Linked DNA regions of Elephas maximus indicus. The protein of the gene in region 1 interacts with the protein of each later gene in a biochemical or structural test. Links are inferred from orthologs where the notes say so. Each region holds a gene or a part of one and is shown in the gene's direction. Other genes may lie near its edges.

The links.
Region 2: the proteins of TJP1 (region 1) and CGN form a complex in vitro, tested with the Homo sapiens proteins (2 studies listed by BioGRID and IntAct, with this or other methods). The link is inferred for Elephas maximus indicus from reciprocal best matches to the Homo sapiens genes TJP1 and CGN.

What each region holds. Positions count from the first base shown.
Region 1 is NC_064831.1:94,002,244-94,010,038, forward strand, and holds the start of TJP1 (tight junction protein ZO-1), read left to right. Parts: upstream 1-4,583; 5' UTR 4,584-4,598; coding exon 4,599-4,771; intron 4,772-7,795. UniProt on the Homo sapiens protein: TJP1, TJP2, and TJP3 are closely related scaffolding proteins that link tight junction (TJ) transmembrane proteins such as claudins, junctional adhesion molecules, and occludin to the actin cytoskeleton.
Region 2 is NC_064821.1:185,570,222-185,577,906, forward strand, and holds the start of CGN (cingulin), read left to right. Parts: upstream 1-4,277; 5' UTR 4,278-4,326; coding exon 4,327-4,336; intron 4,337-6,077; coding exon 6,078-6,958; intron 6,959-7,685. UniProt on the Homo sapiens protein: Probably plays a role in the formation and regulation of the tight junction (TJ) paracellular permeability barrier.

The sequences.
Region 1 (7,795 bases):
ATGATCTATATGTCTATCCTTATGCCAGTACCCCACAATCTTATTTTTATTCAGGTGAAATTCATATCACAATTAAGTATTTTAAGGTGTACAATTCAGTGGTATTTAGCTCATTAACAATGTTGTACAACCACCATCTCTCTCTAGTTTCAGAACAATTTCACCGCCTCAGAAAAACACCCAATTCCCTCCCTCCTCCCATCCATCGGCAAACTAATCAGCTTTCTGTCTCTACGGACATTTCATATAAATGAAATCATACAATATGTGACCTTTTGTGACTGGCCTTTTCATTTAATGTTTTTTCAAGGTACATACAGGTTGTAGCATTTATTGGTAGTTCACTCCTTTTTATGGCTGAATAATACTCCATTGTAGGGATACAGGAAACCCTGGTGGCGTAGCGGTTAAGTGCTACGGCTGATAACCAAAGGGTCAGCAGTTCGAATCCGCCAGGCGTTCCTTGGAAACTCTATGGGGCAGTTTTACTCTGTCCTACAGGGTCGCTATGAGTCGGAATTGACGGCACTGGGTTTGGTTTTTTTGGTTTTGGTAGGGGTACAGCACAGTCCTCTCTTTATTCATCCGTTCATGGACATATGGGTTTCCTACCTTTGGGCTTTTATGAATAATGCTGCTACAAACATTTGTGTATAAGCTTTTGTGTAGATATACGTTTTCGTGTATCTTGGATGTTTCCCACAGCAGCTGCATCATTTTACATTCGTAGTACCAACAAACAAGGGTTTTTTTAATTCTCCACATTTTTGCCAAGACTTGTTATTTTCCATTTTCTGCCTTTTTTTTTTTTTATATAGCCATCTAGGACAGAGTAGAACTGCCCCCTAAAGTTTCCAAGAAGCTCCAGGTAGATTTGAACTGCCGACCTTTTGGTTAGCAGCTGTAGCTCTTAACCACTATGCCACCAAGGTTTCCGGTTGGTAGGTGTGAAGTGATAGCTCACTGTGGTTTTGAAGACCTGGTGATCTACTCCCATAAACATTACAGTCTAGTAAACTCTATGGGGCAGTTCTACTCTGTTATGTAGGGCAGCTATGAGTTGGCATCAACTTGTGGGCACACAACAACGACTAATGATCTTGAACATCTTTTCATGTGGCCATTTGTATATCTTCTTTAAAGAGATGGCTATTCAAGTCCTTTACCCATCTATAAAATAGAATTGTTTCTTTTTGTTGTTGAGTTGTAAGAGTTCCATTTGTTTTCTAGACACTAAATCCTTATCTGATGTATAAATTACAAATATTTTCTCTTATCTGTCAATTTTCTTTTCACATTCTTGATAATGTTCTTTGATATCCAAAAGTTTTCAGTTTTGATGAAGTCCAATTTATCTATTTTTTTCCTTTGTTGCTTGTGCTTTTGCTGTCATATCCAAGAATCCATTGTCAAATCTGAGGTCATGAAGGTTTAATCCTATGTTTTCTTCTAAGAGTTTTATGAGTTTATCTCTTACATTTAGGTCATTGATCGGTTTTTAGTTAATTTTCATATATGGTTTGAGGTAGGGGTCCAACTTCACTCTTTTGCATGTGGACATCCAGTTGTCCCACACCATCTGTTGAAGAGACTATTCTTTCCCCATTGAATTGTCTTGGTGCCCTTGTCAAAAATCAGTTCACCACAGCCGTACGGGCTTATCTCTGTACTCGTAATTCTAGTCCATTGGTCTGTGTCTCTATCCTTGCGCTAGTAGGCTAGCATGCTACCTTACTGATTTAATTACTGAGGCTTTACAGTGGGTTTTGAAACTGGGAAGTGTGAGTCCTATGACTTTGTTCTTTTTCAAGATTGTTTTGGCTAATGAGGACCCCTTACATGCGACATGAATTGAGGATCAGCCTTTTCATTTCTGTAAAAAGGAAAAGAAAAAAAGGCCATTAGAATTTTCATAGAGAATGCATTAAATCTAACAGGTCACTTTGGGTAGTACTGACAACTTCATGTTAAGTCTATCAAGCCATTAACATGAATTGTTGTTCAATTTAATGAAATCTTCCTTAATTTCTTTCCGTGATGTTTTGTAGTTTTTAGTGCACAATTCTTGCACCTCTTTGGTTAAATTTATTCTGAGGCATTTTATTCTCTTGGATGCTATTGTAAATGAAGTTGTTTTTAAGATTCCCTTTATGGATTCTTCATTGCTCGTGCATGGAAACACAACGGATTTTAGTCCACTGATTTTGTGCCCGGCAACTTTGCTGAATTTGCTGACTGGTGATGAGCTCTAGTAGTTTTTGTGGATTTTTTAAGACTTTTCATGTATAGAATCATGTTATCTGCAAATACAGTTTTACTTCACCTTTTATTTCTCTCTCTCTTTTGTCTAATTTCTCTGACTAGGACTTCCAACACAACATTAAATTTTTGTCGTTATTAGTTGCTGTTGAGTCAATTCCAGCTCATGGCAACCCCACGTGTTGCAGAGTAGAGCCACTCCATAGGGTTTTCAAGGTCGTGATCCTTGGGAAGCGGATCACCAAGTCTGTCTTCTGAGGTGCCTCCAGGTAGGTTTGAACTGCCAACCTTTCAGCTAGCAGTCAAGTGCTTAACCATTTGCGCCACCAGCAGTAGTGAAAACAGGCATCCTTGTCTTGTCCATGATCTTAAGGCGACAGCTTTCTGTTGTCTTACCTACACCGGGTATGATGTTAGCTGTGGGCTCTTCATAAATGGCCTCTATCATATTGAGCAAATTCCCTTCTATTCCTAGTGTACTGAGAATTTTTATCATGAAAGGCTGCTGACTTGTATTAAATGCTTTTCTGCATCTATTGAGATAATCATGTTTTATTTTTCCTTCTTTCTATTACTGTGGTATATTACGCTAACTGGTTTCCTTACCTTGAGCCACTCTTGCATTCCTGGGATAAATCCTTCTTGGTCTTGGTGTTTAATCCCTTAACCATGCCAATGGATTTGATTGGCTAATATTTTGTTGGGGAGCTTTTAATGTTTTGACCCAAATCATATTTTTTTATTATTTATTATTAAGATCATTTTGCAAGGTTTGCAGTCATTTGTATATTCCTGCACTACTGTGCAAAGCAATGAATACACGTGTGTGTATATGAAAAAAGAACAGCTACTTGCCCTAAAGTCAACCCCAAGTTACGGCGACCCCATGTGTGTCACGACAGAATTGTGCTCCACAGAGTTTTCAATGGCTGATTTTTCAGAAATAAATTGCTAGGCCTTTCTTCCAAGATGGCTCTGGATGGACTCCAACCTCCAACCTTTCAGTTAGCAACCAAGTGTTTTATATATATATGTGTGTGTGTGTGTGTGTGTGTGTGTGTGTGTGTATGGACACACACACACACACACACAGAGCCCTGGTGGAGCAGTGGTTAAGAGCTCTGCTAACCAAAAGGTCAACAGTTTGAATCCAACAGCCCTCCCTCGAAAACTCTATGGGGCAGTTCTGCTCTCTGCCAAAGGGTCACTATGAGTTGGAATTGAATCGATGGCAGTGGGTTTGGTTTTTGGTTTTTTATACATATATATGCATAATACACATATATATTCCTCACTTTAGACACAATATAAATACAAGGCAAGGTATATATTTACATATGTGTGTATATATATATGTATATATACATAGACATATATATTGCTCACTTTGCATGGTAGTGTGGGATTCCATGAGTTTGAATGGATTCGGTGGCAGCTGGTAGATAAATCAACATAGATATATATATACACACACATCCCTATCTATATCTATAGATATAAATACAAAAAAACTTTAGAATAGATGAGGTTACAAATCATTACATCGTAATTATAAATTAAAAATTACTGTCATTCTTTTTTTTTTGTTATTCATTCTGGATGTGTACTGTTGGGATTCTTTTGGGGACAGTTAAAAGCAAGTTCCTATCAGCAGCTACGGTGCCCTGGTGGCACAGAGATTAAGTGCTTGGCTGCTAATGAAAAGGTCGGCTGTTCAAACCCACCTGCCGCTGGGCAGGAGAAAGATGTGGCAGTCTGCGCCGGTAAAGGTTAAAGCCTTAGAAACCCTATGGGACAGTTCTACTCCGTCCTATACGGTCGCTGTGAGAGAGAATTAGAGTCGACAGGAACGGGTTTGGTTTTTCTGTCAGCAGCTGAAAAAAACTGAAGCCCGAGGGGGCGCGGGGACGCCCCGGCCTCTGCCCGCAGCTCCAGGACGGGGCAAGGCGAGGCTGGCGGGCTGTGAGGCCGGCGCGCGCCGCTCCCTCTGTGCGCACCGGCGGGGCGCATCCGCAGGCCGCGCGGAGGACTCGCGAAGGCGGAGGGGGAGCGAGGCGGCGGCGAGGCCGGGAGCGGGAGGCCAGGCCACGCACGACAGCGCGGCGGGAGCGGGGCCCGGGCGCGCACGGCGGCGGGAGCGGGAGACCGACCACGCACGGAGGCGGGAGCGGGGCCCGAGCGCGCACGGAGGCGGGAGCGGCGGCGGCGGGAGCGGCGGGCACGCACGGCGGCGGCGGCGGCGGCGGCGGGACGGGAGCGGGGCCGGGCGCACAGCGCCGCGGCGGCGGGAGTGGCGGGGGCTGTGGCGGCGGCCGCGGCCGATGGCCCAGAGCTGATCTATGCGGCGCTTGGAGGGGCTGTGTCTGCGGCGGCGGCGGCGGCGGCGGGGCCCTGCCCGCGAGCGGAGCGGGGACAAGATGAAGTACCAGAAATACCTGACGGTGCTGCAGATGGCCATCGGCGTCACGCCGTCCAACCGCGGCAGCCTCCTGCCGCTCAAGAGGAAGCTGTGGTGAGCGCGGCGCGCGCGGGGGTGGCGGCGCCGGGGCAGTGGCCGCGCCGGGCGGGGGCCGGGCCGGGCCGGGCCGGGCAGCGAGGCCGCCGGCGGAGCGCGCAGGGCGCAGCAGCCATTTCGAAGCCCGGGGGCCGGGTGCCGCCGCCTCCCACGGCACCGGGGACATGTTCCGCCGCGACCCTCGGCTGTGCCCGGCGACACGTAGCGCCGCGCGTGGCCGGGAGGGGGCCGGGCCGGGCCCGGCCCCTCGGGGCGCTGGTCTCCCGCCTGGGGGTCGGCCCTTGGGTCTCGGTCCCAGCCAGTTCTGGCTCAGAATTTCAAGCCAGGCTTTCTTGGAGGCAGCGAAAATTTTGTTGTCACGTTATGCGCTTATTGTGATTTTTTCAAAGTCCATCTGCTGTTGGGTACATGGCAGAGGACAAGCTGGTCCCATGTAAACGGGAATAAATCGTGAGATTATCATTGCATTATCAGGGGCTATGCCTTATCGGCAGGAGTTGCAGTTCCTCGCCTGAAAACTATTATTGAGGTGACAGGAAAAGAAAGCCCATAAAGAAAAATGTCTGCAAGTTATACAGATGTGTGTCAGGTTGTGTGTTCTGTTTTATTGCCATTTAAATTATGTCACATGGAACCCCAGTGGCGTTCGAGGCATTACATTGATTTGAGATTTAGGTGCAAGGCATTATCGAAAAACAAGTAATCAAGTAAAAAGACTGTGAGTATATAAAAAAAAAAAATAGACAAGATTAAACTGATAATTTAAGGTTTTAGAAAAAAGGAACCAAGATTGCTTTTAGGCATTTGAGGAGCAATTCTGCTGTGTAAGACAACATGAAAGGAAGATTCGAGGTATATAAAGATACATCAGAAACCACACAACAACAAAGTGGTATAGTCGGTTCTGACTCATAGTGACCGTATAGGACAGGGTAGAACTGCCACATAGGGTTTCCAAGGAGCGGCTGGTGAATTCGAACTGCTGACCTTGTGGTTAGCAGCCGAGCTCTTAACCACCGCACCACCAGGGCTCCATAAAGATATTTGTGTAAAAGTACAGTATTTTACTTGTTTTTCATGTAATTGCCTTTCCCAGTACTAGACTGTTAGTTGCTTAAGGGCAGTGGGCCTTTTACCTGTTTATAGTTGTTAGCTGCTGTCAAGTTGGCGGGACTAGTGGCAACTCCGTGCACAAGTGATTCCATGCACCATGGATGTTGTAGGTCACACTGTTGTGGTCCATTGGGTTTTCGTTGGCTGATTTTCACAAGTAGATTGCCAGGCATTTCTTCCTAGTCTGTCTTAGTCTGGAAGTGCTGCCGTAACTTGTTCAGCATCATAGCAACACGAAAACCTGCACTGACAGATGGGTGGTGGCTGTGCATTGGTCAGGAATTGAACGTGGGTCTCCTTTTTTTCCCCCACAAGGACGATGAGAATTCTACCACTGAGGGAGCCATCACTGCCCCTTTCCGTTTGCTTAGTTCACTGCCAAACCCCCTGCAGAGATCCCCTGGTACAAAATAGCTTCTCAATAAATGTTTATTGAATAAATTAATTATTAGTCATACATGATCGAGAAAGAAAGTCAAGGAAATTTGCTTGCTTGATGTTATATTTAAAAATTAAAGTGTGGAATTAATATTTGAGGAGCTGTTAGGCATGAATATTAGCAGCAATTGGGCACAAAATGAGGAAGCTAAGTTTATTCGTTTTCATCATTGGAGCACTGCTTCTGTAAATACATTCCCAGAATATCGAGTTTGTGAAGAGAGGACACAATCAAGTGAAATCCGTGTAACTTTTATTCTGTGGAGATTCATATTTGAGGCACGCAGTGGACTAGGCCAGGGATAAAAACCAGGGCTTCGGATGTTCACTGGTTTAACCCCTGCTGAGAATTCGCGTTTAGCAAGTTCCCAGGAAGTTATACATAAGAATCACCTGGGGGGTATTGTTAAAATGTAGATTCTGATTCAGTATATCTGGGGTGAAACTGCAAATTCTCAACAGGGAACTTGTTAGAAATGCAAATTCTCAGCAGGAACAAACTGGTTGGAAGCCATGATAAAAACCATCTTTCTAAGAGATAGCTTGGAAAACGCCAGAGGATTTTGATGGACTTTTCCATAATCTTAGATGACCACTTCAGAATTTCTACTCAGTGTGAAATGGATATGCAAATGTTAGTCTAGTTTCTGCAGTGACAAAATGAAGCGCACACTCTACAAACACTCTCAGAGTGGGTGGTACTTTTAAACATAGCGTATAATCTTTATTTATTTATTTTTAAGTTGGAGGATATTGTGCTTGTTTATCTTTTAAACCCTCTGGAATTTTTTTTTCTAGATAATGTTTCCTTTTACTGGGTTGTAGCAACTGCATGGAGGAGAATTTGAGATGTAAGGCGCAATTACATGGCTAGAAAATATGAGGATTATGACTGCAGGGGGTACGTGGAAACCCTTAGCAGACATTAGCAATGTGTGTCAGAACTTGAAATGCATCCTGCTTATGCCAGTTTAGGTGCCTCGGTGGCACACATGGTTTGCACTTCTTTATGAAGATTCATGTGAAGCTTTACATGCTCCCTGTCCCTGTTTGTTTCTCTTTGAGTTGTTGCAATCTGCATGGAAATACTGGGTGCCTGCAAGGTTCAAGCAGCTGCCTTTGAGTGATTCTGATTCATGGTGACCTCATGTGTTAGAGTAGGACAGTGTGCCATAGGGTTTTCAGTGGCTGATTTTTCATGAGTGGATACCCAGGCCTTTCATCCAAGGTGCCTCTGGAGGTGGACTTGAATCTCTGTCCTTATACCAGTGTAAGTAAAGGAAGGGTTGGACAATCCAGTACCTTAGCCCCACACGTCCATCTGATTTGGGCATTTTTGCACATCAGCCCTCCTTTCTGACTGGCTCCGAAGACTCCTTCAGAGTATTACGTTTGCAGACCAGTTTAGGTGGTAGGAGCTTGGCTGCTAACCAAAAGGTTGACAGTTCAAATCTACCGCTTGCTCCTTGG
Region 2 (7,685 bases), on another chromosome or scaffold:
CAGTCCTGGTGGAGTTTATCGTCGGATTGGAGACAATGTGATTTTAAAAAATTAAATCATATAATAAGTTAGAAGGTAATATACTGGAGAAAAAGTTGCCAGGCTGTAAAATGATCGTGGAGGCCAGGGTGTAGGGGAAGAGAACCCAAGACTGGGGTTCTAGTTTAGTTGGGGAAAAGGAAGACGAGCTCAGGTGGATTGGGCTCTGATGTCGAGGGACAAGGGAGGTTTTTCTGCAGAAAGTGATGAGAGTGTATTTTGGTTTATGCGCAGGTAGGTGAAGGACTGTAAGTCGGAATCGGCTGGACGGCACTGGGTTGGGGTTTTTAAGTGAAGGACAAAAGAGGCTCTGGACCGAGATTCCCGTTGGGAAAACTAGAGGCGGGGGTTATCTTCCAGCAGAGGCGAGAAGATGCTGCAGCTGCGTAGCTCCGGGGCAAGGGGTGAGGGCGGTCACGGCGGCCAACTGCTACGCCCCCAAAATGGCTTCCCAGTGCCCCTCGCCGCCCCGCCCCCCGAGCGCCCGCCCCCCGAGCGCCCGCCGACCCACGTGACCCGCCCCCCCCCCGCCCATCCCTGCTCGCGACCCCGGCCGGGGTCCCTGCGGCGGCAGCCCCGCCTCTCGCGGAAAGCCGACCAACCGGAGGAAGGGTAGGGCGGGGCGGGTGGTGACGGCCAATGGGAGTGAAGCTCCGTAGGGAGTAACAGGTTGGTGGGAGGGGTAGAGAGAAGGAGGGAGCGCGGGGGGACCGAGTGGGAGGGCCCGGGAGTCGCGTGTGCAGGTCTGCTCTAGCCCGAGCCCGGAGTGCGAGCCCGAGAGCGCCGAGCCCGGCTGGGGTGAGTCAACCGGGCGGAGGCAAGGGCATCTGAGAGGCAAGCGAGCCCTCAGGTGTACCCCTGAGGGGCGGGGGGTTGCGGCGACCAGGGATGTCCCCTTCCAGGGCACAGGTGCTGAGTTGGAGCGGGGAGGAGGGGAGGTCAGGGGAGAGTAGGAGCTTTGATTAAGAGCTGGCCCCTGCTCTAAGCGGCCTGGGGCAGGTTGCTGGCAAGGTACCAGGTGAGGGGCACCTGAGGGTAAGATTTTTCTCAGTGCGTGAAAGCATTTCAGAGCCAGGATTTGTCTGGAGGTTTGACGCCAGCCCCAGGGGCAGAGTTTCTCTTGGAGATCGGGGTGGTGCGGGGAGAGTTAGTCCCAGCTGGGCAGAGGGAACAGCTGCCTAAGGTTCAGGGTAGTAAGGGGAAGGCATCAGCAGGTGCTGTTTTCCTGAAACCCCAGTGCCGGTCTGAGCTGGTTGTTGACGCCTCCTTTCTGGCTTTGAGATGGCTCTGAGGTGTGGCGCCTTTCTCTAAGCGTTCACCTACAGGTGAAGACAGTTGCAGATAAGAGGCACTGAGGGGAGAACAAGAAACCACCCCATCTCTTTACTAGGTGTGAAACTATTTCAGGGGATACGGTTTCTGTCTGCCTTTGCTTTCACGCCAGGGAGGAATTTCCTTCTTGAGATAGTGCTCTCCTAGAGAGGGACATAAGGAGCTCTGGTGGCGCTGTGTTTAAGCGCTGGGATGCTAACCGAAAGGTGGGTGGTTTGAACCCACCAGCCGCTCCTCCTGGCAGTCTGCTTCTGTAAAGATTTACAGCCTTGGAAACTCTACGGGACAGTTCTGCTGTTGCTCTGAGTCAGAATTGACTTGATGACAATAGGTATGGTTTTGGTTTTAGAGAGGATATGAGGAAGCATAGGTCCCTGAGCCTATAAAATATGCAGAAATTCTTATTTCTAACGAGGCCTCTTTCTCTGGGCAGATATCAGTTCCCCCCAGCACACATACCTTCTTCTGTGTTTCTAGATGGAGACCATTGGGTGAGGTTTGGGAGCTCAACCGATTTATCTTGATGCCTCCCAGAATCACCCTTATTCTCTGAGGCCCCACCAGGCATCCTGACTCCCGACCATGATGACTGGCAGGCATTGTGCTGTAGGAAACAGTCAGGACTCCTCAGGAGAGACACAACTAGGAGAATTAGCACCTTCAAGTCTCCAGGCCAGATGACAGGTGCATGTTGGGTCCCAGGCAAGACTTCTGAGGCAGATTTCCTCGCCTTAGGCAGGGAAGGCATCCAGAGCCAGCCTTAGCTTGGCCCCTTTGATGCCCTGCCTGAGGAAAGTTGTTGTAATTGGGAAATAATTAGCAACCGCTATTATATTGTAGACAGGCTGCCCACACGTGTCTGTGCACCTCTTCTTTTGTCCTGGATATTTGGGATTTGGGGAGCTGGCTCTGGGGGGCTGCTTATCTAGTGATTTGGTTCGCTCTAAAGAATTCTGGTGTCCTAGAACCCCTTTCTGCCTTCCACAGGCTGACCTGCATGCTATTGCCCCTGTGGGATGTGGGGAGAGACACTTATCATGGGAGGGGGTGGGCTGCTTTTCTTCATGCGAGGGAGGGAAGAGCTCAGGGCTGGGGGGTGGCCAAGGCAAGTGTGGAATCAGGAGTGCAACTTTGGGAGCTTGAGAGGGAGGAGTAGAGGGAGACAAAGTCTTCTGTCACACACTGGCCTGTCACTCACCGGGTTCTTTGTGTGTCTGCTCCCACTGCCTGTTCCCTCCCTACCTTCTGTCTCTCTCTTTAGAGCTTTGGCCTTGGCAGCCAGACTGGACAGAACCCCTACCCACAGGCTTGCCCCTCTGCCTCCTATGTGGTGTGGAATTTCTCTGGTCTGTTTTACAAGCTGCCAGTGTAGTCTCCCTGGCCCTGCCTTTCCCCTTGCCTCTCAAACCAGTCCAGCCAGTTTACAGGGATCCAGTTCCTCATTGTTTTTCTTCCCACTGGCCGAGCAGCTCTAGCCTGGCTCTCAGGTTTCTGGCTTTTTCAGTGGACAGTCAGAACTCCACTTGGGGGTTCTTTTTGGATCCACTGGGAGCCTCCTTACCTCTGTAACTCTTTAATGGGAGCAGAACAATCAAAGTCACTGAGCTGTCCTCTATTTTGACCATTTGATTTCCTTGTTACCTGAAAGAGGTAGTCTAATCTCTATACCTCTAGTTCCCCCATTTTCTGAATCTGCCAATATGTGGCACCTAGCATACTGCCTGGTCTTGGGCATATCAGCCCTTCCTGAAACCACCCCACTCCCACTTCCTGCCAGGAGTCCAGGGACCCTGTCACTGCTAGTTGGATGCCAGGCGATAAGACTGGGCCAGAGGTGATGGAATTGGGGCAGGGCAGGATAATGAGTAACTAGGAGAAGTGGCTCTGAAACAGGTGAAGGGTGTCCCCTCCCTCCTTACCAGCTGGAGTGGCAGAGGCAGACAGATGAAAACAGAATTAAGTGTGGCCTGGTCTCTTCCCGGAGTACAGTTGGTGGAGAGAGACCCTGAGCATGCGCCAGGGGAGGCAGGAGGGTCAGGCATCTGGTGAGAGCTCAGGCTCTGGGCTTCATGTTGCCTGGTGCTAGATCACTGTTTACCTGCCTCTGGGGCTTTGGCAAGGCCCACAGCTGCGCTGCTCCCTTGGCCCCGCCCCGCTGTCCTCTGTAACCGAAGGTGGTGGGTAGGTTTCGGGTTTTCCATGCTGAATCATTTAGAGCCCTGCTTTCTGACCCACCTCACAGATTCCCTCCAGCCATCCTGGCCCCTGACCCACGTGTCCCAGGACTGAAGGTGGTTGAGGGTAGGGAGTCATTGGGACCTGGGGGAGTGCTGGATCTGCCTCTCAATGAGCTGGTGCTCTCAGGCAAGGGGCTGTGTACTCTCTCAGGCCTAGGCCAGGAGCTCCTTGACCTGGATCTGGAAGATCAGTAGATGTGCTGACAGAGGAGAGCTGCATCATGAATAAATCATGTGGTTTCTGAGAGCTGGCAGTCTAGGCACATCTGGATCTAAAGTCGTGAATGAGTAGGGCAGAGAGTTCAGGCCAGGAGGAGGTCCTGTTATGAGGGAAAACAAGACATAACTGTGAGGGACCCCTGGGCAATTCCTCCTTCTGCTATGCAAGTCTGCATTGGTTCAGGATACAACCTTTCACAAATATTTATCAATATCTACCATGTGCCAGGCATTGGGGACACAGTAATCGGCTGATAGCCATGGCCTTTGCCCTCCAGGAGACTGTAATCCTGTGGGGGAGACGGACAGGAAACAAATAATGACTTCAATAAATATATAAAAACGAACCGAGATAAACCTACTGAAGAACAACTGCAGAGGATATAACATGGATCTGACCTAGTTTGTGGGGAGGGATGGTCAGGGAAGGCTTCTCTGAGGAAGTGACATTCTTCTAGGAACCAGGTGAAGCCGGGAAGTCCCTGTTGGAGGGAACAGCATGTGTGAAGGTAACATTTATTGTCAGCTTTGTAACAGGCCTACTCTGCTAGGTACTTTCGTGTTTAATATCTTGACTTTTCCACCTTTATATTGAAGTATGACTTAAATACAATAAAGAACAAAATCTTAAGTGTAAAACTTGATAAAATTTGACAGTGGTATATGCCTGTGTAATTTGTTGTTGTCTGATTTAATTCTCACAGGTAATTACATTGTGAGATATTATCATTATACCAGTTTTTACAGAGATGGAAACTGAGGCATAGAAAAGTTGTGATTTGCCCGAGGTTATACATCTCCAGGGAGAACAGAGTTAGACTAGTCCAGTGGCTTTTCTACTGTGCCAGGCTGCCTCTGGATAAGTGGTTTGGAGAACTTACCTCTTTACCTCCTAGCTTCGTTTCTGGTCCCATTTTGGATCCTGCCAGTAAGATATCTTGCTGTTTGGGGTATCTGAGTTAGAGATTGGTTAAGGTTCTCCCCAATGCCTAAAAAATGGGAGACCAGGGTCCTCAAAAGTTGACGGTTGGGCCTTAAGGTATCCACGGACCTCTTAAAATTGTGCGATACTAGTTTGTGTGGGCTGTCTCCTAGAGGAGGTTGCACTGCTGTCATCATTTTCTCAAATGCGGACCCAGTGTCAAAAAAGGCAACGAACCACTACCAAGAAGGGGCTCCTCCTTCCCTATTCTTTTCTGTGGAGGGGAAAGGCTGGGAAGGCTGTGAATGCGCTTCCTCAGATAGGAGGCTGTTTCCCCCCACACCAGCCCTTCCTAACGTGGAACTCTGCCCCTCTACATCCCTTCCCCTCCTCATCTCACACGGGTTGTCTGGGCTGCCAGACCTGGCCGAGTTGCCTTGGCTCAGAGCTCCGCAGGGAGGTCAAGTTGCATGTTTGTGTTTCTGTCTGGTACGCTACAGGCACCTCCTCCAGTTTGGTGCTAGGTTCTGGTAGAGACTAGCAGAAGGGGTGGAGAAGTTGCATTTTTTCTTTGCTTGGAGTTTCCTGGAACAGAGCATGCCTGGAATACATTTCATTTGATGACTCTGAGCTTGGCAATGTGGATCTGGGGAGCTAGTCTGTAGATGGCCTTGGCTGTGTGGCCCCTTGGACTGGGACACTTAAAATGATATTTACATTTTTTCTCGAATAGGTAATACATCTGTATGGTTTCAAACTCAAAACGGACAAAAAGATACACAGTAGAAAGTCAGTCACTCTCCCCTTCTTGCCCCTAACCCCTTGGGTTCCTTTCCTCGGAGGCATCACTTTCTTTGAATAGTTTCCAGAAATGGGATGGCACACTTTGACATCTGTCATGCAGGGGTTGGGTTCTGTCCTTTCTTGAGGGAGGAGGAGGAGGGACATGGTGGTGTATGTGTGGATATCAATCAAAGTTTTTAAACTCTTAACAAAACCAAGTTGTCCGGAGCTATATCAGAAGAAATGGATTCTTCTGGACCAGCCGTATCAGGATCACCTGGGAACTTGTTAGAAATGCAAATTCTCAAGCCCCCACCCCAGACTTACTGAATCAGGAACTCTGGCGGTAGGGCCCAGCTATCTGCGTTTTTTAATAATCCCTCCTAGTGATCTTGTTGCTCAGTTAAAGTATGAGAATCACTGTTCTACAAAGAAAAAACTGACAAGGCAACTAGCCCCATTAAAGCGGGGCAGCTGGAGGTTTCTGGATTTCTACTTCATGTCTCTCGGCATAAAATGTTTAATCTCCTTTCTCCCTCTTCCAGGACCTCTCCTGCCCATGGAGCAGGCAGCTACCATGGCTGAGCCCCGGGGCCCCCTGGACCATGGAGTCCAAATTCGCTTCATCACAGAGTCAATGGGTGGTGACGAGACGGGTACCCTACGCCGTGGTGTGCGACGCCCAGCCAAGGATGCAAGAGCCAACACCTATGGAGTTGCCGTGCGCGTGCAGGGCATTGCTGGGCAGCCCTTCGTGGTGCTCAACAGTGGGGAGAAGGGTGGTGACTCCTTTGGGGTCCAAATCAAGGGGTCCAACAACCGAGGGGCCCCAGGAGCTCTGAGCTCTGACTCGGAACTCCCCGAGAACCCCTACTCTCAGGCCAAGGGGTTTCTTGCCTCCTCGCAGGGCAGCGCATCTGATGAGGAGCCTGGGACCCACTGGAATGGAAGACTACTCCGTTCCCAGTCACAGGCCTCACTGGCAGTCCCTACCCCTATGGCTCCAAGCAACAGGAGCACCAGCCTGCTGGAGTTAGCCCCCCAGGGGGCCTCCCCAGGTAGCACCATTGACACTGCTCCCCTGTCCTCAGTGGACTCGCTCATCAACAAGTTTGATGGTCGCCTTGGGGGCCAGGCCCGGGGCCGGACTGGCCGCCGTACACGGACATTGCCCCATGAACAGCGCAAGCGGAGCCAGAGCCTGGACAGCCGGCTCCAACGGGACACCCTTGAGGAGCGGGAACGTCGGTCCCCCAATGACCTGTCCCCTAGCATGAAGTATGACAGCCATGTGGGGAGCTCAAAACAGCCAGCCCAGAGCCAGAGCCCTCTCAGTGGCTTCAGCCGTTCCCGGCAGACCCAGGACTGGGTCCTTCAGAGTTTTGAGGAGTCACGTGGGAGAGCACAGGACCCTGCTATGCTGCAGGTCAGAGCTCATGCCCAACCCCCAGCCCCTTCCATCAGCCCTGACCCATGATGGACCCCTTGCCAATTCAAATAACCTAGAGCAGCAAGTCCCTACCTTTTTTCCTTCACTTCATGCAACCACTTAATGGATGATATTCACATGTATAAGATACTTCCATGGGTAAAATTCTAAAGAAAATAGAACTACAAAATCATCATTCACAAGCATGGAGAGTAATTGGTTATTGCCCCAACCCTTAACTGTGCTTCAGTCACTAACATTTGAGGACTGCAACTAAGTGGAGGTGGGACTTTACTTGAGACAAAATTGAATCCATTCTCAAATCATTTACAAGCCCTAGTATCTTATTTTTATGCAAATAACACGCACTTTCTACATTTGTTTACCAACAGCTCCTCCCCCCCACCAGGTATTTTTGTAAACATGCTATACTAATTTTTTTTACAGCAACATGTGAAAAAAAAAAAAAATTGGCATAGCAGTGCTTAATACCTGGGGGCAGGGCGGGGGAAGGGTGGGAGCAGTTGGCAGACCAACTGTAGAAGGTGCCTGTTATTTGTGTAAAAATAGGACACATTAACTATCATTAGTGACAATTTACTTGTGACACAGCTCATAGCTGGTCGAGATCTGCTTGTCCAGTAAAATCTGTTTTTCAACAATAGCAGAGAGGTATATCTTGCACGGACCTCTCCTGGCCCATTGCTCAGGGCTCAGCAGGGTT